Linked DNA regions of Lepisosteus oculatus. The protein of the gene in region 1 interacts with the protein of each later gene in a biochemical or structural test. Links are inferred from orthologs where the notes say so. Each region holds a gene or a part of one and is shown in the gene's direction. Other genes may lie near its edges.

Evidence for each region.
Region 2: the proteins of nuclear factor NF-kappa-B p105 subunit (region 1) and bcl3 form a complex in vitro, tested with the Homo sapiens proteins (2 studies listed by BioGRID). The link is inferred for Lepisosteus oculatus from reciprocal best matches to the Homo sapiens genes NFKB1 and BCL3.
Region 3: of the proteins of nuclear factor NF-kappa-B p105 subunit (region 1) and chuk, one has a biochemical effect on the other in vitro, tested with the Homo sapiens proteins (3 studies listed by BioGRID and IntAct). The link is inferred for Lepisosteus oculatus from reciprocal best matches to the Homo sapiens genes NFKB1 and CHUK.
Region 4: the proteins of nuclear factor NF-kappa-B p105 subunit (region 1) and dpf2 form a complex in vitro, tested with the Homo sapiens proteins (2 studies listed by BioGRID). The link is inferred for Lepisosteus oculatus from reciprocal best matches to the Homo sapiens genes NFKB1 and DPF2.

What each region holds. Positions count from the first base shown.
Region 1 is NC_090696.1:60,035,964-60,043,406, reverse strand, and holds the start of nuclear factor NF-kappa-B p105 subunit, read left to right. Parts: upstream 1-4,431; 5' UTR 4,432-4,503; intron 4,504-7,227; coding exon of another isoform or gene 7,228-7,404; intron 7,405-7,443. Other genes in the region: slc39a8 (metal cation symporter ZIP8), read right to left, coding at 151-300, 1,667-1,851, 3,186-3,393, 7,228-7,404.
Region 2 is NC_090722.1:10,467,845-10,475,049, reverse strand, and holds the start of bcl3 (B-cell lymphoma 3 protein), read left to right. Parts: upstream 1-4,182; 5' UTR 4,183-5,219; coding exon 5,220-5,514; intron 5,515-7,205. UniProt on the Homo sapiens protein: Contributes to the regulation of transcriptional activation of NF-kappa-B target genes. In the cytoplasm, inhibits the nuclear translocation of the NF-kappa-B p50 subunit.
Region 3 is NC_090699.1:17,636,361-17,643,264, reverse strand, and holds the start of chuk (inhibitor of nuclear factor kappa-B kinase subunit alpha), read left to right. Parts: upstream 1-3,885; 5' UTR 3,886-4,233; intron 4,234-5,302; exon of another isoform or gene 5,303-5,305; 5' UTR 5,306-5,308; coding exon 5,309-5,413; intron 5,414-6,140; coding exon 6,141-6,235; intron 6,236-6,904.
Region 4 is NC_090713.1:19,938,930-19,946,334, reverse strand, and holds the start of dpf2 (zinc finger protein ubi-d4), read left to right. Parts: upstream 1-4,401; 5' UTR 4,402-4,462; coding exon 4,463-4,494; intron 4,495-4,819; exon of another isoform or gene 4,820-5,339; intron 5,340-7,405. Other genes in the region: kcnk7 (potassium channel, subfamily K, member 7), read right to left, coding at 831-1,167. UniProt on the Homo sapiens protein: Plays an active role in transcriptional regulation by binding modified histones H3 and H4. Is a negative regulator of myeloid differentiation of hematopoietic progenitor cells. Might also have a role in the development and maturation of lymphoid cells.

The sequences.
Region 1 (7,443 bases):
TAATAAACCTAAGACCAAAGGTAAAATGAAAGTGCCTGGCCTAAAAATGGGGAAAACTTTTGTGACGTTACACAAGAGCTAAGCAAAGATTTAACATAACGGTTACGATGAAACAGGTGCTAGTCTGTTGTCTAAGACCAGCAGTGCATCCTATTCTAGTTTTATGTTTCCTGCAAACATTGTAATTAATAGAATGACAGAGAACCCTGTTAATAATCCAAGATTCTGAATGGTGAAAAATATGATCTTGCTCCTTGTGTTTCTTTCATGATCTCCCTGGATGTTATTCATCTCTAAGAACTGAAATAAGAGAACACTCAGGTAAGTAAAGGTTAGGACATAGAACTCCTCTGCTTTTGACTGCAGTCATTGTAATAAGATTTATATGCAACAGGTGGTATATAAATCTTGGCTGTATGAAATGCTTCATAATACATTCATTCTTTAATCTGTAAGGGCAGAAATTATTCTAAATGACAGTGGTTTACAGGACTTAGCATTCATTAAGAATTCAGAATTATTCAGGACTCTCAACTGCTTTAAAAAAAATTGGACTCTTTATTAGGCCATCCAGATGTCCCAGAATTTCCCTTACTACTACTGAATAGGCCATTTCATTCTCTCTCTTGTCTTTGAATTCTGCCTTGATTCTTATTTTCCCTGTTTGATGACAACCACAAGAAAGTATAAATAGGCTGTTCTTCTAAGGCAGCCCCAGTAGGTCCCAAGGTTGTTACTGGGCTATCAGGCCCTTATAAAAATGCAACCTTAGACTGAAATTCATTTGCATTTCTGCACTATGGAGGATTTCAGATTTTAAAGTGAAGTTAAAGCATACTGGAATTCCTCTCTCAATATCTGCCAGGGAAAAGGGACTTTGGTTTGCTCTAACTCAGCATAAAAGCAAAACAGCTGAATTGACTGCACTATAAACTTTGCAGTTTCTTTTTTCTGTACATAGCTTTTGAGTAATTGGAGCTCATCTTAAGCAAATCAATATGTAATAAAATTTATAGTCCCTCTTGCTACATTCCCTAATAATAAAAGAATGGAGATATGACTGTATTGCACTACAAGATTGGGTGAAATCTACTGTGCCTGTTCCCGTTGTTCATTTCATTTTCTACAGCCTACTCTGAATGAAGGAAACAATAATAAGACACAGTGTTAAGGTCAGCCACATAATCTGCAATTCAAGGAACAACTATATCTTACTTTATTATTCAAATTACAGCTATTGAGAGTGTATTTCCGTTATACAGTAGGTCATTTTTATTCATTAGTATAGGATTAACAGCTTGTCTTGCAGAATATATGAAATGTGTGACCCTTATATGAAATATGTGAAATTTACATGTGGATGTATGAAAATTTGAGAAAACTAGGCCCATAAAGAAAAATATACAGTAGGTAGTATGCCATTGGTTGCTTTACAGATATCCCTACTGTATCACAACTAAAAACAAAATAATCAAATCAGAATAGACTTACTTCCTAGCTGATAAAACTTTAGAGGTACTTACAAATGAGTACAGTGAGTTCTGTAAAAGTAGGACTAATTTATCAGGTAAGAAAACAGGAGGTGGTGATGTGCTTTGCTATACACTAAGAGGTAACCTTCACAGAACAAATGGAACAGTATTGTAACAAGAAACACATCACTCACCATGTCTGCCAGAGCGATGTACAAAAACATTCCGCCAGCAAATGCGAAGATGACATTGGGGGAAAAGTTGGTTCCAACAACAATCCCCAGGATGAGACCGATATAGCACGAGCAGGCTGACAGAAGATTAAAGAAAAGGGCTTGAGGAATACTCATGCCCGCACTCAAGAGGATCACAAAATCACCTGGATGAAAAAAAACACACATTTGAAACCATTTACTGAACCGGTGGCAATTTTATCCAAGCCTTTTATAATGCAAATAGACTCAAGACAGAGTAGAAGGTTTTTACTGACAAAGTAGGAGGTTTTCTCGGGCAACATTTAAGCTGAACTGATTCTGTATTAGCAATTAAAAAGACAAAAAACTAGGATGTATAGTTAAAAGCATAAGATTCAAATCAAGATATGTTAAAATTGCATGATACATTAGTAAGGCCTCATTTATATTTATAAGGGAAGTTTCTATGCTTACAGGCTGAAGGAACTTGACCTTTTTAGTGTTGAACAGACAATATTACAAGGGAATCCCATACAGTTACAATCTGATGTAAGTATTAAAGGTCAGCCCAGCATATGTATTCTGAATGAACTGTACAACATGAACCACACAGTCAAAATGAAAAACATATAGAAGTGCATTTAAAACAAAGAATGAGAACACTTCTTTACTCAAAGGGTTGTGGGGGTATGGAATAAGATACCCAGCCAACTCCCTGGCTTCTTTCAAAAAGTGGCTGGATGAGTTCCTTGGATCAATTTACTACGACCAAATGGACTAGATGGTCCAAAATGACCTTCTCTCATTTGTTACTATCCTCATGTTCTTATCCCATATAATTTTAAAGATACGAAATGAAATCTAGGTTTTGTTGGTGCTGTTTTGAAAATATATAGTATAGCGTTATGAATCAAAAATCAAGAAAACTTCTAAACCTCTTCATGTAATTTAAACACTATTTCGTTGGTCGACTTTAGAGAATAATCTTATAGTGGTGGAAAATATTGTTGCATTATTCTCATTTCTGTATGTTGGCGTGGGATATACTGTAGCGTATTCCGCACCTTTGCATGCTCACAGTAAATTTCTAGTTCCGTCAGCTTAATCCATTCATTTTTCTTCAGAATGAATTTTCAACTCTTAACCATTCAGAATCACTTTGTCATTAATAATGACTACATCTTTTAAGGCAAACCTGCCCCCTGCCACTTGACAAATATAGCTTCATTGAAGCTCCTCTTTTTGCAGTTTGCTCATGGCCATTAATTCTGGAAGCTGTGTGACAGAAGATCATGGAAGATAAACCTACTCTTTAGGATTGGTATGTATTTTTTTTATATTTATGGTAACATTGAAGAAGTGTACTGTAGGTTACCTACTCCTCAGTCAATACATTCCTACTGTGAGCACAAACATAAAGGTGACCTAAAGGTTTGCCAGAAGGAAGATCATACAACAATTTAGTCCAGATGATGCTATAATTCTGAACCAGTGCGGGAGATTAATAAATGGTACGTACCCAACTCATGAGGAAACTCTTCACACACAATAGCAATGGAGGTGCTCACACCATTGATCACAGACACTGTGAAGGAGGCGCCGATTGCCAGGCCATCGATGAAGTTGTGGAGCGCGTCACTCAGCGTGATCATCCAAGCAACTGTTTTTATGTTGCGAATTCTAGGTCCGCTCAACCAACGACAGTATCCCCGTGACACCTGTATATCCTACGAGAACAGAGAGAAATTAAATGCAATTTGAATTTAATCTGATTTTACCATTCTTTGGATGTTTTCCAACTATTGGATTGCAAAGAGAGTAGTGATACACCAAACTAAATAAGTCAATATCATTGTTTTCTTTGAAACAAGTTATTGAAGTAAAACTACTTTATTATGCAAAGTAGTAAATAATAGCAGAGTAATCAAATCTGAGGCAGACAGTATTTAAATAGATTGTTGGTAACTCAATTACATAGAATGAAAAAGTTGGGGAACAGTGCATAATATAGTATAACTATAAGTGTACATTATCAAAAAGAAGCTGTTACTTGATGAAAAAGTGCATTCCTTTTAAGCATACAAAATGAGATTTTGCCTTGATGCTCTTTTGATTCCAGTCTGCCTCTTTTCAGGCAATGTAATTCAGTCCAATGTAAACTGATTTGTTGCCAATTAAAGGTTTTAATTCATAGTAAGATAATGTTTGCAAAGGACTGGAGGTCTTTAGACCCACCTAGCTTTGTTGCAAAGATGATCAGCTAACTCTGTTTTGAAGTTTAAGAACTATTCCATTCAAACTCTGTGTGAGGATTTACACAGAGAGGATTGTAAGGCTTTGCTATTCCCTGGTCTGCAGTTTCTGACAGGTGTCTAAATTGTGTATTCTAATTGACTTGTCCACAGTAAAATATGTTCAAGAGGATTTTATTTAACCAACATTGTTACAGTATTTTTAAGGAATTCAGAGATTCTGCAAGGATGATCATCTCTGATGCTGGGTAAATATCAATGACAGTCTTTTATTCTTTTTTTTTAAAAGAGGAAATTGAAGAGAAATTTCAAGTCTTCAAGAAAGAGATACTCCAGGATAGTTTTGAAGTAGATGAAAGGGCAAGCTGCATTTAAATAATGCACATGTTGCAGCTATTTTTATCAAGCAAACCTTTGGGTCCATAACCACATCCTGGGCTTGCTTGTACTAACGTCTGTGAATACAGCATGTCAAGCAGCACAGGAGTGTTGTAGTGAGTCGAAAGGGACAAAAAAAATCCACAGGGCAATTTAATGTAAAACCACTGCTTTTTGTCTTTTTTTTCAATGATTTTCCAGAATTAGGTAAGTTCTAATTAAAGTCTTTTGGCTTGTATTGATATTTGCCGTCTAGGTTACATGTTAGGGGTTTTTAATACACAATAAAAATAAACCAGATTTCTGAGGATGCATGCAACACTGGTGTCAGAAGTTCAATAATGTCAAATATTTGTATATCAGGTTTGCACTGAGGACCAAAAGCTACTGTATGTATATCATTTTTGAAAATACAAATAAATTAAAGTGGGACAATTAGCGGTTGAGTTAGCGGTTTTGCTGACATTTGGGAGACAGGGTTGACAGCCTCTTTATATTTGAAGAAATATGATATTACTTTTCCTGGACTTGTTTATCATACCTGTTGTAGTAATTGATGATCTAATATCACTGTTACTGATTTTCATTATTCAGCAGGTTGTGCCTACTGGCCCAGTAGTACTGGTCTGTTTTATCTTGAAATCATTTTGCTTCAGCAAAAAATAATATCATATCGTACAGTAATACTGCTGTAGTTTTGAACCCTGTCCAACTAAAGAAACCTATCAAGCAATGAAATGAGGATGTTGTAAAATAATTTAGTCTCTATTGAAAAAAGTTCATTAGACTACAGGATGTGTGCAGATACGTGCATATGTTGCATGTTTTCAGCCAGCAAAAAGCAATATAATTGTTGGCAATGTTTCAAAACTAAGAGGCTATTTGCATATTACCTTTCACAGGTGATATTACACTGTAAACAACAGAATTTTACCTAAATTAAAGCACACTGTTGTATTTTACAAGTCTAACAAAGCAATAAACCCTGCATGAATGCCAATATTTTGGATATTGCACATCTTTTTCTCTGAAAAACAACAAATCCAGTATAGTTGCCTGTAGCAACTCTATCTGAAGAAATGTGGTTACATTTGAAATTATAATTCAAAGGCTTTAATACAATCAGTATTACAATAACAATTAAGTATAAAAACTTAACATAAATTCTTCTTCCTTATGCCAACAAAAATAGAAGTGCACATCTGCACATGATGTTATACCCAAATGACCAAGTAAACTGCAAAGTATGCAGGTTTCGTGAAGAGACCATAGCGCTATCCTTGCATTGCAATCTACCAGTAGTGATAATACAGTGAGGAAAAAAACATTTTAAAATTAAGAAGTGCCACATGTAATATTTTGTGTGTTAAATGTCTAAAATGACACATGCAATCACTTACCTATCTTTAACCTGCAAGAGGTCACTTGTGTTTGTTACTTTGGTCAGATCCAAGGTCAGCATATAGCATGTGATTTAAAATGCTGTTAACCATTAACATTATTTTCCCTAATTACATTATTTTAAGTGATAAATGATTTGGACCTCACTGCACCTAAATGAGGCAATGCCTGTATTACATACAGTAGAACTAAAACTTGTTTACTTGAATTGCAAGTGACCTAAGAAAATAATTTAAACAAGGTTCAGTTATTCTTGTTGTACAATGCCACTATATAGGTGGTACTGTCTAAAAACAACACCAAGCTGTTTTTCTTCTGGGGCTTATATCTAAACCTAGGAGCTTAGTTCATTTATAGTTATTATTCTACCTTTGTTTTAAGATGTTTTCTTTCCTAATTAAGGTGATGGATCATCTTTTTTTTTTGCCATTAACTTGATTTCATGTAATGTGACTTCTGCCAAGAAACTATTCGAATGAGTTATACACGTTATGCACGCATAGACTAACTGGTAAAAACATTATAGCAGAAGGTAGCTTGATTGCTGGGAGCCGCTGATATCAATACTAAGTAACAGTCACAAATATTTGTCTGAAATGTAAAAATATGCTCCTGAAATGTACAGTAAATTTGTTATTTTGTCCAGCCTGCCTGGTTTACTACAAGGATTACTGACTGGTTTACTACCTTCTCTACATCACATATGTAACATATCTCAGGTGTTGCAAATAATAAATAGTGTAAAAAATACATTTAACAGTGAGGACGCCCCAAATGCTTGGTGAAAAGGACTCAATGCTCTAAGGAAAACATGGACAGCTACACATGGGCAAAGTTAGATGATCATTTTAATTACAAAATTAATGTCAATTCTGAATATTTGTATGGAGAAGGGATGGTTGATGTGATGTTTTTTCTTTTATACTTGCTAAGTCAGAGAAACCTCTATACAGACTGTGGAAATATATCTTGTTTTCAGTGCTTTCTTGTCATAATTGAGCCTTTGAATAACAACAGATTAAACCATCATGGGAAAACAGAAGTGTTGGTGAAAGAATAATTATCTGTACAAATAAATATGCTTTATTTATTTGTAACACATATATTGATAAATATACTTGGACTTGGGTTCCAAATTGATCTGGGAAAATTTTTGTAGGCAGCAGTACAAACCTACCTAGAATATCTGTTACATAACAGAAACCCTGTGTGATCTTGAAAATATTTCCCACAATCAACTGTACAGTAGGCGATCAAATCATTAGCCATTGTGGAAATAATGGTGCATATTTTGCTTTTTGAGATCAATGAAGGCACCATGATTGATGTTTTTTTTCTTAATGGTATGCGGGGCTGATGTACCTGGAAATTCAGTTGAGACACCACACTTGTAATGAAGCTTTCCACGTAATCAGAACAGTAAAATAAGCTTCCGTACCTTCCACATAAACTACTCAGCTCCGAAATAGAGACTATTACAAATGCAGGGTTTAAAAGCAAGAAAAACAACAAAATCCAAGGTGTTCCTACCTGATCTGTCTGTGCAGCTGTGCCAATGCTTGGTTCCTCGCTACAGCTGAAACTGGTGACGGTGATGATTTCAGTTTTGTGGGTTAATTCTCCATTTGTGACAGAATTTGTGCCCATCTTGTTTGCATTGGACTGATTTGATTCTTCCTCTGATGTATTGAAATGACTGTGGCCTTGCTAAATTAAGCAAAGCAAAAGAGCAGACAGCCTTTTTGT
Region 2 (7,205 bases), on another chromosome or scaffold:
TGTGTGATTATGACTGGGGGATACTCTGTGATCTCCTCTCTCTCACTGTGTCTCCTGTCCTACTGTGTGTTTATTACTGAGGGATTCTCTGTGATCTCCTCTCTCTCTCACTGTGTCTCCTGTCCTACTGTGTGTGTTTATTACTGAGGGATTCTCTGTGATCTCCTCTCTCTCACTGTGTCTCCTGTCCTGCTGTGTGTTTATTACTGAGGGATTCTCTGTGATCTCCTCTCTCTCACTGTGTCTCCTGTCCTGCTGTGTGTTTATTACTGAGGGATTCTCTGTGATGTTGTAGTAACAGTGGCAGCACTAGCAGTAACAGCAGGAACAGTAAAAGCAACAATAGCAGTGGTAGCAGTAGCAGTAACACTGGCAGTGGCAGTAGTAACAGTAGTAGTAACAGTGGCAGTAGCAGTAACAGTAACATGAGCAGTGACAGTGGCAGTGGCAGTGACAGTGGCAGTGGTAGTACAGTGGCAGTAACAGTAGCAGTAGTAGTAACACTGCCAGTAGCAGTAGTAACAGTAGTAGTAACAGGAGCAGTAACAGTGGCAGTAGTAGAAGTAACAGTAGCAGCAGTAAAAGTAACTGTAGTAACTTAACACTAGTAGCAGTAGTAGTAACCACAGTGACAGTAGTAGTAACAGTAACACTGGCAGTGGCAGTGGTAGTACAGTGGCAGTAACAGTAGCAGCAGTAAAAGTAACACCAGCTGCAGTAGTAACAGTGGCAGTAACAGCAGCAGCAGTAGTAAGAACAGCAGCGATTGTCGTGTGACAGATTGTTTTAAATTCCCCGTCAGGTTCTGTGTCCCGGTTCTGCAGGACGGACGAAGTGGAGCAAAGCGACCGGAGACCCGCACGCACGCTGCAGTACCGGCGGCGGCTGGCAGGGCGAGCAGTGCTAGCAGCAGCAAAGAAGCAGAGGGACGCTCATCCTCTCGGACACAACTGGGGAAGATGAAGCAGGAGCAACAACAGTAAATGTGGTAGTAACTGCAGCCAATGTTAAGTAGTAATAAAAGCAGAAAGAGAAGAAGTAGTAGTAACAGTGACAGTATTTTTAATAAAAGCAGTAGTAGTAACAGCTACAGTGGCTGTAGTAGTAATAACAGCAGTTATACAAATAACAACAACAGAAGCAATACTAGATAATACTACAGTATTCTGAATACTACAGTGGCAGTTTTAGTAATAACAACAGTTCCATTAATAGTATCAGGGTTACACAATCATCTCTAATTGGCAGTGAAGGAGCTGAGTGACGCCTCTCTGTCTCCACCCCTGATCTCTAACTGAAGATCAGGACAGCTGCTCCTTCTCAACAGCTGATCTTTTAGGTCTCATTGTTTCATTCAGGGTTTCTAGGGACTTTATCTCAAACTGCAGTTTTTCCGTTGCTCTCTCTGTTTCTTTCTAAATAAATGCAGCTTGTGGAAAGTCCCAAAGTCACCCAGGTAACTAGAAACCTGAGAGAGACAGGGGGCTAATACTAGTACTACATAGCAATACTACACCTCTGGACACTCCCATACATTAACACTGCACTGAGAGAGAGGGGTTAATACAGACACACGGACTGGACACTCCAGTACATTAACACTGCACTGAGAGAGAGAGGGGTTAATACAGACACACTGACTGGACACTCCAGTACATTAACACTGCACTGAGAGAGAGGGGTTAATACAGACACACTGACTGGACACTCCAGTATATTAACACTGCACTGAGAGAGAGAGGGGTTAATACAGACACACGGACTGGACACTCCAGTACATTAACACTGCACTGAGAGAGAGAGGGGTTAATACAGACACACTGACTGGACACTCCAGTACATTAACACTGCACTGAGAGAGAGGGGTTAATACAGACACACTGACTGGACACTCCAGTACATTAACACTGCACAGAGAGAGAGAGGGGTTAATACAGACACACTGACTGGACACTCCAGTACATTAACACTGCACTGAGAGAGAGAGGGGTTCATACAGACACACTGACTGGACACTCCAGTACATTAACACTGCACTGAGAGAGAGGGGTTAATACAGACACACTGACTGGACACTCCAGTACATTAACACTGCACTGAGAGAGAGGGGTTGATACAGACACACTGACTGGACACTCCAGTACATTAACACTGCACTGAGAGAGAGAGGGGTTAATACAGACACACTGACTGGACACTCCAGTACATTAACACTGCACTGAGAGAGGGAGGGGTTCAGACAGACACCCTGACTGGACACTCCAGTACATTAACACTGCACTGAGAGAGGGAGGGGTTCAGACAGACACACTGACTGGACACTCCAGTACATTAACACTGCACTGAGAGAGGGAGGGGTTCAGACAGACACACTGACTGGACACTCCAGTACATTAACACTGCACTGAGAGAGGGAGGGGTTCAGACAGACTCACTGACTGGACACTACAGGGTATTAGGAGAGAAAGAAGGGGAGAGGAAGAGAGAGAGAGGAAGAGGAAGGCTTTTCCGGTTCATAGATGTATTTCAAAGTGGGGAGATTCTGAAAATACCAGCAGCAGCCACCCTGCCCCCTACCTTAACACACACAACAGACAGCACACAGCACACAGAGCACCACGCACACAACACCTGCGATGTACAGAGCAGCTCTCCGCAGGGCTCGTGGAACTGTGTGATCAGCACTCTGGAGCAAGTTTAGAAGCCTCGCAGTTGCACATTCACCCAGCCACCACTAGGGATCAGCATGAGTGTATGAAAAGCTGTGCTGCAGGACTTCCCTGCTTCGTGCAGGGCTCTGAGGGCACTGCTGTAGGAGAGACTGAGGACATCAGGGCACTGCTATAGGAGAGACTGAGGGCATCAGGGCACTGCTGTAGGAGAGACTGAGGGCATCAGGGCACTGCTGTAGGAGAGACTGAGGGCATCAGGACACTGCTGTAGGAGAGACTGAGGACATCAGGTCACTGCTGTAGGAGAGACTGAGGGCATCAGGGCACTGCTGCAGGAGAGACTGAGGGCATCAGGGCACTGCTGTAGGAGAGACTGAGGGCATCAGGGCACTGCTGCAGGAGAGACTGAGGGCATCAGGGCACTGCTGTAGGAGACACTGAGGGCATCAGGGCACTGCTGTAGGAGAGACTGAGGACACTGCTGTAGGAGAGACTGAGGGCATCAGGACACTGCTGTAGGAGAGACTGAGGGCATCAGGACACTGCTGTAGGAGAGACTGAGGGCATCAGGGCACTGCTGTAGGAGAGACTGAGGGCATCAGGACACTGCTGTAGGAGAGACTGAGGGCATCAGGGCACTGCTGTAGGAGAGACTGAGGGCATCAGGACACTGCTGTAGGAGAGACTGAGGGCATCAGGGCACTGCTGTAGGAGAGACTGAGGGCATCAGGGCACTGCTGCAGGAGAGACTGAGGACATCAGGACACTGCTGTAAGAGAGACTGAGGACACTGCTGTAGGAGAGACTGAGGGCATCAGGGCACTGCTGCAGGAGAGACTGGGGGCATCAGGACACTGCTGTAGGAGAGACTGGGGGCATCAGGGCACTGCTGCAGGAGAGACTGAGGGCATCAGGGCACTGCTGTAGGAGAGACTGAGGACATCAGGGCACTGCTGTAGGAGAGACTGGGGGCATCAGGGCACTGCTGCAGGAGAGACTAGGGGCATCAGGACACTGCTGTAGGAGAGACTGAGGGCATCAGGGCACTGCTGCAGGAGAGACTAGGGGCACTGCTGTAGGCTGTATAGACAAGTACCGATAATTCTCGATCAGATACTGAGATCACTGTGAATTTGGAGACTCTTTTGGTGTTGTAAGCCTGAGAACTCGCGGGAGCAGCTGGTGGCTCTCCAGGCCTCGACCTGTGAATCCCAGGTGATTTCCTCTCTCTTCGCCCCTCTGGGGCTCCAGGAATGGTTTCCAGGGTACGTCCCTCCTCTCCTCTCCAAGAACTTCCTCCACGGACACACACACACACTGGTCACAGGGTCACCCCACCCAGACCCTCTGTGTGTCTTACCCTGATCTCACTGGGCTTTACTGCACTGTACTGTGCCTTTACCCTGATCTGTGATTTACTGCACTGCACTGTGCTTTTACCCTGATCTCACTGTGATTTACTGCACTGTACTGTGCTTTTACCCTGATCTCACTGTGATTTACTGCACTGTACTGTGCTTTTACCCTGATCTCACTGCGATTTACTGCACTGTACTGCGCCTTTACCCCGCTCTCACTGTGATTTACCGCGCCGATCTCCTAGAAAAGCACGGAAAGTATCGAGTCCCAGGAGGTGTCTCGCTCAGGCACGGTGCCGAAGTTCACCCCGGGGCGGGCAGCTCGCGATCACCTGCGGCCCTTCGCCTTCCGGGCCCTCTCGACCGCTTCCCCGCCGGCCTGCTAGGAAGCTCGGGTCCGGAGTCTCATCGTGCGGGTTTTTTTTTCTTACAGCCACTATTACTGGAGAAACAGCACGAGAATTCGGGGGAAGTGAAGGGACCGGAAGCGCGAGCCGGCGCGGGGCGGCGCCGAAGGGGTTACAGCTCCGGGCTGAAGTTCTCAGCAGCCGGCGAGGGAAACCCCCGCTCGGTGCACTTCCTAGTTTGTGTGTCTGTGTGTTTCTGTGTGTGTGTGTGAGAGAGAGCGCTGTCGCTCAGCTGCGCCCGTGTCTCCGCGCACTCGCTCGCTGACAGCGCCGACGGCTGGCGAACCCGAGACCCGCTCCGCTCGGCACCGACTCCAGCCCCGGTCCCGGACCTCCGCCGCCGGCCTTTCCTCGGGAGTTTTTTCTGCCTCCACCCCCCCCCCCCGTCTCCCTCTCCCTCTCCCTCTCCCCGACTCTGCGCGCTGCAGGAGGACCGGAGAACCGATTCTGCTGGTTTGTGAGGAATCGGTGTCTTATTTTTGGCGATTGCTCCGCTGTGCACCAGCCTCACGCCTCCTCGGGATTCCTCTGCTCCGAGCCCACGGGATCACCCCCGGACCCCCGACCCCGCTGCTGCAGGAGCGCCCCCGACGAGGTTGGGGTTCGGGTCCGGGTCCGGGTCCAGTTCTGGGCGGGGGGGGGCAGCTCTCTGCTTGGCGTGCGTGGCTCCGGTTCTGTGGTTCCGAGCCGGGGTGCGATGTGCCTGAGGCGCCCCACAGCCTGAGAGTCCGTGGCGGCTCGGATCTGCACCCCAGCCCCGGCCCGAACCCGGGCTCTGCAGGATGGAGCGGGGCGGCGCCGGACCCCTGGACCTGAGCACCTCCGCGCGCAGGCGCCCCGCGGCAGAGGAGGGGGGGGCGTCCGCAGGACGGGGCTGTAACGGGCATCACGGCCCCCCGAGCCCCCCCAGGCCCGGCCCGGACACGCCGGCGTCCAAGCTGCCCTTCCGGAAGCGACCGTTCCCCTCGCAGGACAGCGCCCCCCCGCCGCCGCCGGGGGGCGCCGCCGAGCCGCTCGGACCCGGCCGCAGAGGAGCCCTGGACGGCCGAGCGCACTGCTGCGCCCTCCCAGCCTACTGTAAGAACAGCTGCCCTCGCCGCCGCGGGTCAGAACCAACACGGGCTCTGGGCTGAGTGAGCACTCCTGTCGGGACAGGGAGAGAGAGGGGGACAGGGAGAGAGAGGGGGAGAGGGACAGGGAGAGAGAGAGAGGGGGACAGGGAGAGAGAGGGGGACAGGGAGAGGAGGAGAGAGAGGGGGACAGGGAGAGAGAGGGGGACAGGGAGAGGAGGAGAGAGAGGGGGACAGGGAGAGGAGGAGAGAGAGGGGGACAGGGAGAGAGAGGGGGACAGGGAGAGGAGGAGAGAGAGGGGGACAGGGAGAGGAGGAGAGAGAGGGGGACAGGGAGAGAGAGGGAGAGAGAGGGGGACAGGGAGAGAGAGGGAGAGAGAGGGGGACAGGGAGAGAGAGGGAGAGAGAGGGGGACAGGGAGAGAGAGGGAGAGAGAGGGGGACAGGGAGAGAGAGGGAGAGAGAGGGGGACAGGGAGAGGAGGAGAGAGAGGGGGACAGGGAGAGAGAGAGAGGGGGACAGGGAGAGGAGGAGAGAGAGGGGGAGAGAGAGGGGGACAGGGAGAGGGAGAGAGAGAGAGGGAGAGAGAGAGGGGGAGAGAGAGGGGGACAGGGAGAGGGGGAGAAAGAGGGGGACAGGGAGAGAGGGAGAGGAGGAGAGAGGGGGACAGGGAGACTGACAGGGAGAGGGAGAGGAGGAGAGAGAGGGGAGAGGGGGACAGGGAGAGAGAGGGGAGAGAGGGGGACAGGGAGAGAGAGGGGAGAGAGGGGGACAGGGAGAGAGAGAGAGGGAGAGGAGGAGAGAGGGGGACAGGACAGGGAGAGGAGGAGAGAGAGGGACTGGGAGAGGAGACTGGAGAGAGGAGAGAGTTAGGGACAGGGAGAGGAGGGAGACAGAGGTGAACTCCCTACTGCACTGTGACAGGTATTCTGGGATTAGAGAAACATTCTTCCCTAAATTCAGAAATCTAATCCCAGAATTTCCACACCTGCCAGAATCACAACAGCTCCCGATCCTACTGGGAGTGGGAGGAGGGAACTCAGTTGAACTGGCAGCCCAGTGTGTGATCTCCTGTCCCAGCCTGAGGACCAGTGAGCCTCTCTCCCAGTAATGCTCCAGATGTTTACAGTATATGTAAGATTTAATCATATAGGAACAAGTAATAGGTTTATTCCCTGCTGAAAAGAGGAGAGAAAACACAGCGTTTCGACTGTGAAGCCTTCAACTCGACACCTGAAGAAGACTCTCCAGACGAAACGCTGTGTTTTCTCTCTTCTCTTGTCATGAGGAATAAACCTTTACTTGTTCCTTTGCAGACTACACATGCTGACGCAGCTCCCCACCTGAACTATTTTATGATGTCTTTGTTGTAAATGTCTGTAATATGTCTGTGGATGTTTTGGGGTTTTGTTTCACGTTCATTTTATTTTTATTTGCTTTGGCGACACTGATTTTAACTCATTGGGCATGCTAATAAAGCACCTTGAATTGAATTGAGAGAGGAGAGAGAGAGGGACAGGGAGGGAGGGAGAGGGGAAGACAGACAGAGGGACAGAGAGATCAATCGATCAGTCATAGTTTGTTGATCAAATGCACAACAGCACAGCCTGCAGCAGTAGTTGCTGGCAGTGAAATGTCCTGCTGAGACACAGCAGCTCAGCGCTGCGGGGCGCTCAGCTCTGAATTGACACAGGGACAG
Region 3 (6,904 bases), on another chromosome or scaffold:
CTGCACATGACCTGGTCAGAGTTCTGGCTGTCGTATTCTGGACCTACTGGAGCTTGTTCAGTGTGGATTCAGATGCCCCAGTGGGTAGGGCACTGCAGTTCATCCTTTCCTGCTGTTTCCCTTTACAAAGCTGGGAAACAATCTGTTCTCTCTCTTTTCCCCACCTCTGGAGTCAGGAGGATGCCTGCTTCCTCTCCGTCTTCCTAGCTTGACCTGCTCCGTGACACGCACCCCCCCTCTGCTGTAATGACAAGGTCAATTAAACTGTCAGTGAGCCTGTAGGTTATCTCCACCCTGTCCTTCCTAATGCTGCTGCCGCCGAAGTGAGCGTTCTTTGCATTGGTGTTACGAGTGGGATACTCCGCCACAGGAACACGGCAACGCGAACGCTGTCCAGCCTGAGCTGGGGGAGTGATGGGCTGGCAGGCTGACGGTGGCTCCCTTGCGCTCACTGCCCCGGAGGAGGTCGAGCTCTTGCACCGCTCTCCTGCCATCGAAGACAGAGGGGGTCATTTAGCACCACCCCCACGAGCTGTGGGACTTTTCTGCCAAGGCTCCACAGAGGACGCCAGCCAGCACCACCCTAGCGAGTCTGTCCGGTGACAGGCCCCCCACCCCACCCACCACGAGCCTCAGGACCCTGCTGCCAAAGCAAGTGCCCTCCGCAAACCACAGCAGGGGTGCCAAAACCCAGCTGCTCTGAATCAGCTGAAGCCCCCCCCCCAGACCATGAGCCGCGGGGTACTGTTGTCATGCCTGTTCTTGTCACAGTCCGTGATTCCTCTGCTGGCCAGGTGAGGGCTGTGAGCCGAGGACGCTGGCTGGTCGCCAGGCGGATGGGAAGGCCAGGAGAAGCCAGCGCCGCCGTGTCCACGCGCGCTCCGACAGAAAGTTGCCTCTATGGAAGAAGGCCCACCCGAAGCTCGATAGTCCCAGTGCCGGTGTCATCGCCCTCCCGACATGTAGCAGGGACCTCAGGCGCCTGAGATGAGGGAGGTCTCCGGCGTAATGCAAAAGGGAACCAGCCCAATGAGCTGAAGGAGACCTCCCTCAACTCAGGCGCCTGAGGTCCCTGCTACATGTAGGGAGGGCGATGACACCGGCACTGGGTTCACGCCCAGGCATTGTGGGACAAGCCAGCGGGGTGGAACGGCGAGGGCAAGAGCCCGCTTGGAACCACAACAGTCAGACCAGCTGATGAAGGCAAGCCCTCCCTTGTTGCTGTATCCCAGCAGCCACTGCGTGCTCCTGTCCTCTCCAGACCAGATCCCTGCTGCTGCCCACTGCTCGGAAGACAGTCAATCCAACTCCAGGATTCCCAATTCTAACTTCATTGTTGGACTGTCCCCACGAACTCTCAGCCTTTACCACAGGTTCACATTTCCTGCCTTTTCCCTCATTAAAACCATGTGCAATCCCTCCTCTCCCACTCCCCTGTTAATCCAGATAACGTTTGCTTCCTCTCTGCCTCTCTCTCCTCCGTGACTAGCTGGCCACGCTGTAATGAAAAAGGCAATTAAACTGTCAGGGAGCCTGTGAGTCGTCTCCAGCCTGTCTTTCCTAAATGCCGCCGCCGCCAGGACTGAAAGGAAAGCGTTCGTTGCAATATTAACATGAACTGTAATCAAAAGTACATAAAAAGCACGACGCGCTACAGCTTCCCACTATGCTGTAAAGCCTAATATAATGGAACAAGCAACCCATTCTCTTTGAAGCCGATACCCTGGCCTCTGTCATAAACTGACTGTAAGGGATCATCGAACCGCTTAGCTACTCTAAACGAGCAACTTGGGACGAAACGTCTATTACGTTTGCGTGCTTTCTCAGGTTGGCGTGTGCTTAAGGTAAACCCGAAGTAACTTCTATAGCGACATCTAGAGGTAAGAGAAAATTCGGTTTCTTAAAATGACCACGGTACAGTAACCATAGCAGTGACAATTTGTTATAGAGGTTTCATTTTGGGTTTTGTTTAGTCACGACTGTGAGACACACTTATTGGGGCAAAAGGTATTCTTGAGGCAATAGGTTCTGGAAAACATTCAGGTCTTGTTTCGGTAACGCTATCAGCTCAGTTCCCTTTGATACAGTCGACGGACACGGCTCTGTTAAAGCTCCAGCTACCTTTATTGGTTGGTCTAGAAACGATTTTGACCGGTGTGCCTACCCCTTTCAAACTGACACGTATCTGTTTCACTGAGAAATTCTGTTGGATCTTTATACAGCTTTATACAGAAGTTAAAATTAGAAAATACAGCCCTAACATGCATTTTATGCCAATGAAAATAGTTTTTTTTGTGTGTTTTCAAATCCTGGTATTAAAACTGCATTGTTCTTCCAAAATAATCTAGCTAGGTACATTAAGCCAGGAGATGCTAATACATCTGTTTATTCAACCTTGCCTTGCTCAAAATGTTACTAGACAATATGTTTTAGCATTGTAAAAGTTCTTCACTTGTGGATCACAGAATTGATTTTAAAATGGCTACATTAAAAATAAAGCTCTTGGTGATTAAGGTACTGTATATCTTCAAGAGATACTTAGTACGTATGCTCACTAGATCTACAGACTCTCTTTGCTAGTTGGGCCAATTGGACTGAGTTAAATAAACCATGACTCCTTGACTTCTATTGTACCTCAGCTGAAAACTGTTAATTTAAAAGTATTTCTAGTCAAAATTTATTTTTTTCCCTTTTGTATGTAGGTGTTACATTATTTTCTATTTTTATGCTTTGGGTTTCTCTGGTGAAAGGAACATTAATAATAATAATAATAATTGCTTACACTTATATAGTGCTCTTCTGGACACTCCACTCAAAGCGCTTTACAGGTAATGGGGATCCCCTACACCACCACCAATATGAAGCCCCACCTTTTGCAAACAGCCATAGAACACCAGAACACTCATCACATATCAGCTATCAGTGGGGAGGAGAGCAGAGTGATAGTTCATAGAGGGGGATTATTAGGAGGCCATGATTGTTAAAGGCCAATGGGAAATTTGGCCAGGACACCGGGGTTACACCCCTACTCTTTTCGAGAAACGCCCTGGGATTTTTAATGACCACAGAGAGTCAGAACCTCGGTTTTACGTCTCATCCGAAGAACGGCGCCTGTTTACAGTATAGTGTCCCCGTCACTATACTGGGGCATTAGGACCCACGTGGACCACAGGGTGAGCGCCCTCTGCTGGCCCCACTAACACCTCTTCCAGCAGCAACCTTTTTTCCCAGGAGGTCTCCCATCCAGGTACTGACCAGGCTCACACCTGCTGAGCTTCAGTGGGTTGCGGGGTGATATGGCTGCTGGCAATAAAACTTACAATTTACATTGCTTTATAGAAGAATTACATACAAAATTCAGACTTCGTATGAAGTACGTTAGGGCAGAGTGGTGGCACTGTGGCTTAGGATCTGTGCTTGTGGCCGGAACGTTGCCGTTTCATATTCCGCGGCCGGCAGAGGAATCCCCTGAGCAAGACCCTTAACCCCAACTGCTCCAGGGGCGCTGTACAATGGCTGACCCTGCGCTCTGACCCCAGGCTTCTCTCCCTTTCTGTGTGTTTATGTCTCATGGAGAGCTAGCTGGGGTATGTGAAAAGACGAATTCCCAATGCAAGAAATTGTATATGGCCAATAAAGTGATCTTAACTAAAAAAAAGTAGTCAGTGTTTATTATTGTGTAAGGTTCGCAATTACGTTCAAAATTAAAAATTGCATGAAAACGCGTAACGGATGGCGAATATTCCCATTCGCTGTTTTGTTTTTGGTCGGATACAGAGCCCAAACCGTCACGCAGGTATCGGAACTGACAACCTCGAGACCAGCGCGCGGGCACCCGGAGGTACAGGAGCGCGTGCTGCTCCGAGGCGGCGGTGACGTCACTTCTGGGAAAGTCCAAAGCGCCGCATCTGAAGGGCGGAGGGGAGGTAGAGATTACTGCTGGGAAGCGGGGAGGAAAGGGGGCAAAATTGCAGAAAAGGGGGGTGGGGGGGTTTAAACCTGTTCAGCGCCTGTCGCGGTATCGAGAAAGCGGTTCCCCCGTGAGCATGGGGCAGACCGACAGCGGCTGACGGACGGGAAGCGGGCTTGTTTACATGCAGCAGGCCGGCGGCCTCGGGTCTGGCATCCGGCTGCGAGGGGAGACATGAGCGGGCCGCTGTGACTGCGCGCTGTCAGAGCTCTTGGCCCGGAGGCTGCTTGCCGACTAAGTCTCATTGTGTGAACATAACAGAGGTGAGTGAGGCGTGTGTGGAGTCTAATCCCCACCGCGGGGGCTGTGGCCATTGGACCGGCCGAGCCGAGCTGGCCCAGGCGGGTCTGTTTTGAAACTGGTGCTCTTAGTTCAGGACGGCGAGAGGATATGGCAAAGTTTATTTTTCAGCCACTTTAAAACAAGCGAGACGCGGATATAAGGCTTCACGTATTTTAGTTAACGGTTCTTTTCCGTGTTTGTGACACGGGAGAAACAAACACGCAACAACTCCGAGTAGCCTCCGCTCCAGACTACGGATTTCATTTCCCTCAGAAAAGCGTCGTGTTGCCGGTCTGAAGTCTCGAGAGAACCGTGCTGGGTTAAAGGTCATGTCGATTCCACAGGGCTTTTCAGTGGCAGGTCGGGGTAACATTTTTGTGAACCCGTGACCCGGCGCTTCGTGACGTCGGCGTCCCGCGCTCCCGTGTTCCACTTTATCCACGAGCTGAGCTTCCAGGACGGCACGGGCCCCGGTTCGGGACCTGGCCCTGGTCTGCAATGTTGACACCCAGGAGAAGCGCTACTGGCCCTGCTGCTGTTATCCAATGGCACTTTACGTCACCCAGCTGTAAAATACCTACCCTTCAAATGTGCATTACGTGCAGAAGTGCAGTCAAAACAAGTGCGTTAATATAGTCAGAGCAAAGTGCAGTAAGATTGGAACTATAAGTACAGTCTGCATACTTGAGCAGTGCAATCCAAGGTACAAAAATAACAGGGATAAATGACAAAGAGTCTGTACAAGCTTGTCCTGGTGCTGGCCACAAATGAGCTGCACCATTGCGAAAGTGATGCTATTTTGGGCCCGATTCATGAACACAAGGGCTTTTAATCCATTTCTTAGCTCAATGTACAGCACAGACAGATGCTCAGTGCTTGAGAAATGTCTGAAATTTCGCTCCAACAGAAAGGGGATGCTTTGAGATGTTCTGGATTGAGCATTGTATGATTTTCTTTGTGTATTATTTTTGTTCAGTGTTCTCACAGTCTGGTGTATTGGACCTCACTCGCATTAAAAAAAATAATCTAAGGAAAATTAACTTTTTACAGCAGAGAATGGAGAAACCGCCGTTCAGGCAGAATCAGGTGTGCGGATTGTGGGAGATGAAGGAGAAACTGGGAACGGGAGGATTCGGCCATGTGTATTTGTACCAGCATCTGGTGAGTGCAGCAGGGATGACGGCTCTAGAAACGCTAATGCTTGGGGTAGAGAGGCCAGTGGCTGGAGAGCTATGTGGCCTATGATCAAGGACCTGGTGATCGCCAAGGGCTCGCACGCGTCCCTCAAGCTTTGTAGCTTTGCCCTCACAATTCAAGACACTCATCCATATTCCCCAGCTCCGGGACGCTGAACGTGGGCTTTTACAAAGGCATTCGCCCCAAAGCGACAGTGTAGCTGTGTGTCAATACAGAGGGACAATAAACAACTTCATTGCAAAAAAGGAAGTTTCTAAATGCAGGCGCCAGTCCCAGGGGGTGATGGCGATTCCCTCTGTCGGCCTGCGGGCTGTATCCTCCGGGGTGCTGAGCTGTACTCTACCAGTGGAGATAAACTGTCCGTCTGCATGGTGCTTGCTCTCCACTTGACTGGTGCCTCATATCCCGCCTCTGGGGAAAAACTGAGAAGCTTCTGGTAAGCTAGAGCACCAGGTTTCTAATTTGCAGCTGGGTGATGGGTGCACATCTGTTCCTGAAGCTTGGCGTGTGATCAGCACGCTGGCTCAGCGACTGATTGTCTTTGTTATTAACAAAGTAGATATTTTGGGATATTTATTCCTGTTTTGTCTTTTTTTTTTGGTTTTACTTGACACAAGTTATAACGTTTTATTGTATTTCTTTTTTTAATGTGACTTCGCTCGGTCTGCTGTTCTTTTTTTCTTTTCAAAAGGAGACAGCCGAGAAGATTGCTGTCAAGTCGTGCCGCTTGGAGCTGACTCAGAAGAACAAAGAAAGATGGTGCCGGGAAATACAAATCATGAAGAAGTACGTCTGAGACTCTGTGGAAGACAGGAGAGCTCTTCATGGCTGTCCTTCATTTTCAGCACTTCTTTTCTTCCCTCTGATTATCCTGTCGCAAGCGTGGCTTTCCCGTGACTTCCCTAAAGAATGTTTAGCTCCGATGTTATGCATATCCCAGCTTCTTGCAAGAAAGGGGAACGGCCTGTTTAAGTTTGCATTAGGACGTAGATTAATAGTGTCAAACAGTACCTTTTATTTGCATGCACCATTAAAGGATGTGGTTTTGAGGGACAGTATTTAGCATGCTTTTTTCAGCTTTGTTTCAGTATTTGCAGCATCACACTTGTGATCTTTCTGCCGGTTAATGTGTTCGTAATTTTCCGGCCTCACAGTTAAATGCATGCCATGTGGGGGCAGGGATTCCATAGCTGGTGGCAGCACAGTTGGTTAGCACTGCGGCCTCGCTGAGCCAGGGTCCCGGGTTCAATTTCCAGGTTGCTATCTGCGTGGAATTTATATTAATGTTCTCCCTGTGTTCACATGGGTTTCCTCCCACAGTCCAAGGACATACTTGAAGGTTATTTGGCTTTTGGGGAAAAATGTCCCTGGTGTGAGTGTGTCTGTGTTTGCGTCTGCCTGCGATGGAGTTGCGTCCCCTCAAGGGTGTACTCTGCCTTTCAATCGCTTGCCGAT
Region 4 (7,405 bases), on another chromosome or scaffold:
ATTCTCCCCCCCCCCCCCCCCCCGCCGCCATCTTGACTGGAGCCATCCCCTCCAGCTGCGGCTTGGGAGGAGCCAGGGTACCGGCTTCCACCGCATGGCTAAGCGGCTTGTTCCACACCCCCGCCACCCTTTGTGTAAAGCAGGGTCTCCCCTCTCCTGATTGCAGGATCTCCTCCGAAACCCCCAAATCGCCCGTTTTCGTGAAAGATCAGGCGCGCTGGCCAATCGAGTTGGCAATTAAGCAAGAAGAAATGTTCAGATTCCACCCCCCCATCGGCATCACATAATGAGCCACCTGTCCGATTAATCATGGTAACTGCAAATGGCTCAAGATCTTTACAAATGGGGATCCCCAAGTTCTAAAACACCAGTTTTACTAGAGTACCAGAGCGCCTCGTTCTTATTTAAACCTCCACCTGTTTGAGACCAGACAGAACATCTAAGCTGCTGTACGGTCCATCCCTCCTGTCCTTTACAGGATAATTTGGGGGGGTTCCCACAGGGGACCCCCCCACATCTCCTGGTTTTCCTTCCCAGCTGAGCCCTCTCATTCCCACCCCCCAATCCCTCACGGAGCCGGTCCAATCGGAACCTTCTGCACATGTAGGGCGGTTTTTTTTTTTATCAGCTCCGAACTTGAAGATCTTGAGCGGTGCGACATTGAACCCCGCCAAGGCACCCAGGTGCCGTAAAGCGGTAACCTCCCCCAAAACCCACAGCGCGACAGCGTCGTAAAAGCCCAAACGGACGCTGGGCGCGACATAACAGACGCCACAAGGCCGAAGTCAAAACTGTAACCCTCCCACCACCACCACCACCTTCCCACCTACCCGTCGTCGTGAGAAACGCGGTCACGAAGAAGAGGGACGAGGTGAAGTCGGAGTTGCACTCCTCGCTTCTGTCGTCCAGCGCCGACACGCCGTGCTGGCCGGCCGAGACGACCTCCTCCAGCAGGGCATCCAGCGGGGCCTCCCGCAGGCAGCGGTGATCGTCTAGGAAGGCGGCCCGCACCTCCCGCAGTTCCCGGCGCAGGGCCACCTCGCCGGCCTGCTCCAGAGCCGCGAACACGGCCCCGCCCAGCAGGACGTACAGCACGTAGCCCAGCGCCAGCAGCCCGAACGCCCGCTCCCGGCACGACCTCCGGACCGACTCCCAGCCGGCCGCCATTCCGAAAGACCGGGGGCTCGGGACGGCGCTACATTAGTCCAACCGGGCGCTGAAATTGCATTGCGTCTTCTCCGACGCCAAACCCCCCGATAACCTCTGCGCTGCTGGCCTGAAATCCTATACCTTCCTTTCCTGTTGTTAAAAGTTTAATGCCCGAGCGCGTATAACGTTTCCCCTAGCTAGGCTTCAATTTCAGACCCTCAATCCTGCTTGTACGGACACAGGGAACGTCTTTCACGGCTATTAACGCCCAAATTGGCTCAGTGTCCTAGCCAGCACCTTCGCCTGTCTCATTTATCTTGTATCCACGAATCCAGGAACCCTCTCGCCCCACCCCACGCACTTAATAGGCACACTTGATTGCTTAACAAGCACAGTTCAAACAAGAGTACATAGAACGATTCAAGACACAAAGATCGTCAGGGGGGAGGGTACATATTACTCCATAAATTCAAGTTATTTGAAAAACAAATTGAAAATAACGTCCGCACCGCTTTCAGATTTTTGCACTTCAAAATAGTCTGCAAATACCCTCTCACTTCCATTGTAAAACGCTCAACCACAGGGTTCTTCCCAGACCACTTCATTGTATGGATGTAATAACGTGCCGTTCTAATAATTAAATGGATCACAAACGCAATTTTAAGATTGTTTTCGATGGGGCCGAACGTGAACATCTTTTTCATCACAACAAACATCGAGATTGGTCTCTTTTTTTTAAATATAATTCTGCAACTTAGTCCAGAAAATGTGTACCCTGGGACAAACAAGAGCTGAATAGTTTCAGGGCTGTTGTCACACACACACAAAAAAAAAACCACATTTGTCATCTAGATTAATTTGAAATCAATGGGTAACAAGAATCTTAACTGGGTGAATTATTTTGTATGAAACGCGACCACTTTTTCCTCAATAACCCCCCCTAACTCTACGGCTCCTCTTTCAAACCTAAATAAAATATTTTTTTTTTCACTCTGACTCGACGGGGTCTTATCGTAGCTTTTGGAAACGGCATCTCAGAACGAGTCGCGCAAGGTGCTCACGTCCTGTGGTCCATCTGGGAACCGGATACGGACACGCAGATCCGTTTACCTGCACACACAACCCCCGGACAAGTCTTCATTTTGACCCCCCTGATACGGCACGTTTAAAGAACCCGGTACTGGGGCAAAATCACACAGCGTACGAAGTCAAACCTCAGGTTTGAAAAGAATCTCACCCCCCCCATCTTCCACGCAAAGGAGTGTCTCTCCTTTCGCTGTGTGATTGAATTCTGCAGGGCTGTGGTGATAGTTTAACACGCCTTTCTCACCCCCACGCACGTCTGAGTAATATTTAACGCAACGTACAGGACCGACAGAAATGGTGTGCAAATATAGCTTGGACTGTGGCTCCCTCTAGCGGCTGAGCGGAGAGCCTAGTCAAGACCCTTGTCGTGCAGCGATTTCAAGTTAATATTAATAATTGCTTACACTTATATAGCGCTTTTCTGGACACTCTACTTAAAGCACTTTCCAGGTCATGGGGAGCCCCTCCACCCCCAGCAGTGTGTACCCCCACCTGGATGAGGCGCCAGTCCTCTCCCCACACCCCAGCTCTCAGTGGGGAGGAGAGCAGAGTGATGGAGCCAGTTCAGAGAGGGGGGTTATTAGGAGGCCATGATGGGTAAAGGCCAGGGGGGGAATTTGGCCAGGACTCCGGGGTAACACCCCTACTCTTCTCGAGAAACACCCTGGGGTTTTTAATGACCACAGAGAGTCAGGACCTCTGTTTGACGTCTCATCCAAAGGGCAGCGCACTATACTGGGGCATTAGTGAGCGCCCCCTGCTGGCCCCACTAACACCTCTTCCAGCAGCAGCCTCAGCTTTTCCCAGGAGTCTCCCCTCCAGGTCCTGGCCAGGCTCCCACCTGCTGAGTCTCCAGTGGGGCTGCCAGTGGGGAGCTGCAGGGCGATATGGCTGCTGGCCATTCCAAAATTAATATAGATGATAACTGTGTTCTTTTGTATTTTTTTTTCTTTTGTTTGTGATTTCTGTCTCTTGTACCTGTTTCTGATCCTCTGGTTGTAGTTGTATTTGTAAAATTCTTTATATGTTCAATAATTAAAAAAAAAGGTTTTAAAAAATGTTCTTTTGTGAAAGTAGCCCAACATTTATTTTTGGTTATGTCCTCTGGTAAAAACATTCTAGATTGATCTGCAAACGTATTTTGAAAAAAAAAGAGGCCAATATTGCTAGCATTTGGACAGACATAGATGTAATGTTAAATTTCAATTCCATTGCAAATAATACCAACAAAATCGATTGTGATTGACTTATTATACTGGCACGTTATTATATACACTTATATGCATAATGCAAGAAATTTTATATGGCCAGTAAAGTGATCTTTATCTTATCTTGTCAGCAGCCATATCACCCTGCAACTCACAACTGGCAGCCCCACTGGAGACTCAGCAGGTGGGAGCCTGGCCAGTACCTGGAGGGGAGACTCCTGGGAAAAACTAAGGTTGCTGCTGGAAGAGGTGTTAGTGGGGCCAGCAGGGGGCGCTCACCCTGCGGTCTGTGTGGGTCCTGATGCCCCAGTATAGTGACGGGGGACACTAGACTGTAAACAGGCGCCGTCCTTCGGGTGAGACGTCAAACCGAGGTCCTGACTCTCTGTGGTCATTAAAAACCCCAGGGTGTTTCTCGAGAAGAGTAGGGGTGTTACCCCGATGTCCTGGCCAAATTTCCCCCCTGGCCTTGACCCATCATGGCCTCCTAATAACCCCCTCTCTGAACTGGCTCCATCACTCTGCTCTCCTCCCCACTGAGAGCTGGGGTGTGGGGAGCGGACTGGCGCCTCACCCAGGTGGGGGTACACACTGGTGGTGGTGGAGGGGATCCCCATGACCTGTAAAGCGCTTTGAGTGGAGTGTCCAGAAAAGCGCTATAGAAGTGTAAGCAATTATTATTATTATTATTCTCAGCACACTTCTTAAAAAGTGAAGGTTAGTAAGTATGCTAGTTCGCTAACGTCACGAAGACGAAAAAGGCAGAAAAAACGACGAAACAGAAGAAGTGTAGTTGTATTAGTAAAATCTTTATACGTTTAATAAAAAAAATTTAAAAAGACGAAACGCAAGAAGCCGCTTTAGGCGGAACTCTGTGAGAGGCGCGCGCGCGCCGGCTGCTTCCGGCGCGGCCGCGTTCGGCCCCCCCCCGGCCACACGCGCGAGCTCGACGTGACCTCGGCGCGTCGTCTTCTGCGCAGGCGCGCGCTGCCGTCGTCCGAGACGGGAGGCGAACCAAGATGGCGGCCGTCGTGGAGAATGTAGTCAAACTGTGAGTGTTGTTGTTGTTGTTTTTTTTTCTCTCTCCCTCCCCTTCTCTCGCCTTCCAGCGCGTTCGCCGGAGCTGAGCGGGCGGGTGGCGAAGGGCTCGGGGTTCGGAGGAGAGAGGGGGCAGGGAGCTGGGAGAGAGGGGTTCAAGGGAGGGAGAAGCGACGTTGTGTGCAAGCCGGGCGGGCGAGAAGCCACGACGTCTCTCCGGTCGCGGCAGCCGAGGGCGCCGGGCGTGAGAGCGGACAACTGATTCATTGTTCGGCCGCCGCTCAAAACTTTTCTCCCGGCGGCAGCGCAACACTGGGGGGGGGGGGGGAGTTTTCACCTCTTATCAAGGGGGGTTTTCAGGGCAGCTACACAGAGCCCTGGGAGGTGGTTTCTGGTAGTTTTGGTCGCCGAATTGCCGGTCCGAGCCTGGATCCCCGTTGGTGCCGGGTCTCTGGTGCTGTATGAGCTCTCTCGTCCCGATCCAGCCGATCGATGGGACCGAGAGGCGCCGGTGCCTGCGGTTTTGTCCCAGCCGGTGTTGGCTGCGCCGTCCTCTTGTTGTATGTGTGTGTTTGTAACTCGATGCTCCGCGATCGTGATTCATCAACACGCTGTGTGTGTAAGAGAAGGGCTCCCACGGTTGGCTTTGCACCCCCCTCCCTCGCCCGGCGTGTAGCTTTGTTCCTCTGTACGATCTCCCAGCCGGTCGGCCAGATCCCTGCTCTCGATCCGCTCTTCAGAGAGCGGATCGCCCCGGCAGGGCCTGACGTTGGGCAGCGCAAGTAAATGTTGACAAAGTTCAAAGAGCCGGTTCAAAACTCGGCTACAACCAAGTCTCTCTCCCGCCGCACACTGCGGGTAGGTAAAACACGTGTTTTGAAGACGTTTTGTGGACACCCGGGCAGCGAAATTGCGGTCTGGGTGGTGGTGGGGGGAGTTTACAATTCGTGCAGATTCAAAATCGCAACATCTGTCATCTGGTCCTTTGTTATTTTTTTTTTAGAAAAACTCCATCCCTCCCGATTCACGTAGTAAAAAGCTCTCATCCTGGAAGAGAAGACGCCTGTAGCTCTTTCTACTGCAGGATAAGCTCCCGATCTCCAGCAGGCAGCTTTTCAATGTTGATCTTGAAGCGCATTGCAGCGCGATGTTGTTATTGAGTCGTGCTGCCTCGTATAATAACGCCTCTTTGTTTTAATATTGCTCTTCCGGGTGTCATCGGGTTTATTTCGCTTAAATGGGTTTGCAGATCGATGATACCTTCGCCCTGCGCTGTTGTGCCCCCCTGCCTGCCGGTGTAATTAACGATGGGATATCATTAACGGAGTTTCGTGAAGGTCGCCCGAGTTATCGCATGACGTCACTCGCACGATCTCGATCAGATCACTTTTTCAGCCCTATACAATGTCTTGCATTAGGAATGTGTCTTTTCTCAGACCCCAGCTTGCTCTCCAGGAGACACACAGACAGGGAGAGAGAAGCTGGGGGGTCAGAGCGCAGGGTCAGCCCCCCTGGAGCAGCTGGGGGTGAAGGGCCTTGCTCAGGGGCCCCAACGGAGTAGGATCCCTCTGCCGGCTGTGGGATTTGAACCTGCAACCTCCCAGCCACAGAGCCCCCACTCTGCCAATGGCACCACCTCTCTCTGTTTAGTCAAAGCTGTGGACTATCAACTCCTGTGTTTTGCTGTGTGCCAAATACACCGTGGGCAAATGAATATTTATCAGTCGAACTGATGTTGTCACTTAAACAGAAGCCTTCTGCCAGCACTTCGTATCTCGAATGCGTATGGATCTGAAGTCGTCCGCTGAATTTGGTTTTCATTTCAATCTGTTTTTATATAGCGCCTTTCCCAGCGATGGAAGATGCTTTGAGTTTCGAAACCGCAAGAGCGTTCGGCTCTGCTAACCCTCGGTTGTTTTCTTCTCCATGGGAGCCCCACGCCGCACGTTGAGGTGTTGCAACTGGAAACGTCACCTTTCTCGGAATTGGAATTGGGGAGGGGGTGGTTCCCTTCGGCTGTCCCGCTGCGGACTTCAGAGAAGAGCTGGTGGAGGGTGTGGGTGATACTCTTGTGAAACGCGGATTTCAAAATGGGACACCCTGAGCCCCGAGCAGGGCCGGGCGTCTGAAGGCCACAAGGGCTTTCGAGAAGGAAGACTTGTGTCATCTCCTTCCGTTAGTCATCGTGTGTGTGGGTGGGTGTGTGTGTGTGTGTACAGGACAGGAGTGCACGAGACCTGGTCAGGATTCTGGCTTAGAAATAGAAATGCGAATTTCTGTGTCATCTACAGTCTTTGGTTTAATACTGCACGCATTCAGTTGTCTTAAGCTGTGGCGATTTGCCTGAAACGGTTGTGTTTGAAAGCAGCTGTCTACCTAACAGATCTCGGACGCGCGCACGTCCTCTCCCGCGATTAAAATCTTATCCCCGTGTGACGGGAACACAAAAGTGGACCTTTGACCAAAAACAGGTTTATTTTCTTCCAGCATCGAGGAATGATAATATAGTTCGAAGGCCTTTAATACTTGACAGAAGCGTCCCGGGCTGCCAGAATTTGGCATGCCGGGAGAAATAATTTAAGTATTTTATGGCTGAAGTCACACCCCTGGTCTCTTTCAAGAAACAGCTGGGTGAGGTCTTGGCATCAACTAACTCTTAACTACGAACCGGACCAGAAGGGCCGACTGGATCTGCTCGATTCTGAAGCGTCCCAGTTCTCTCTCTCTCTCTCTCTCTCTCTCTCTCTCTCTCTCTCTCTCTCACTTTTCAAACGTTTGATGCTGACCGACGTCCTCGAAAATGGAAACCAATCTTACTGTCCCGCCATCTTCTCATTCAGGGCTGTGGGGGAGCAGGAGTCTATCCCAGCAAGCAGTAGACGCAAGGCAGGGTACGCCCTGGAAGGGACGCCAGTCCATCACAG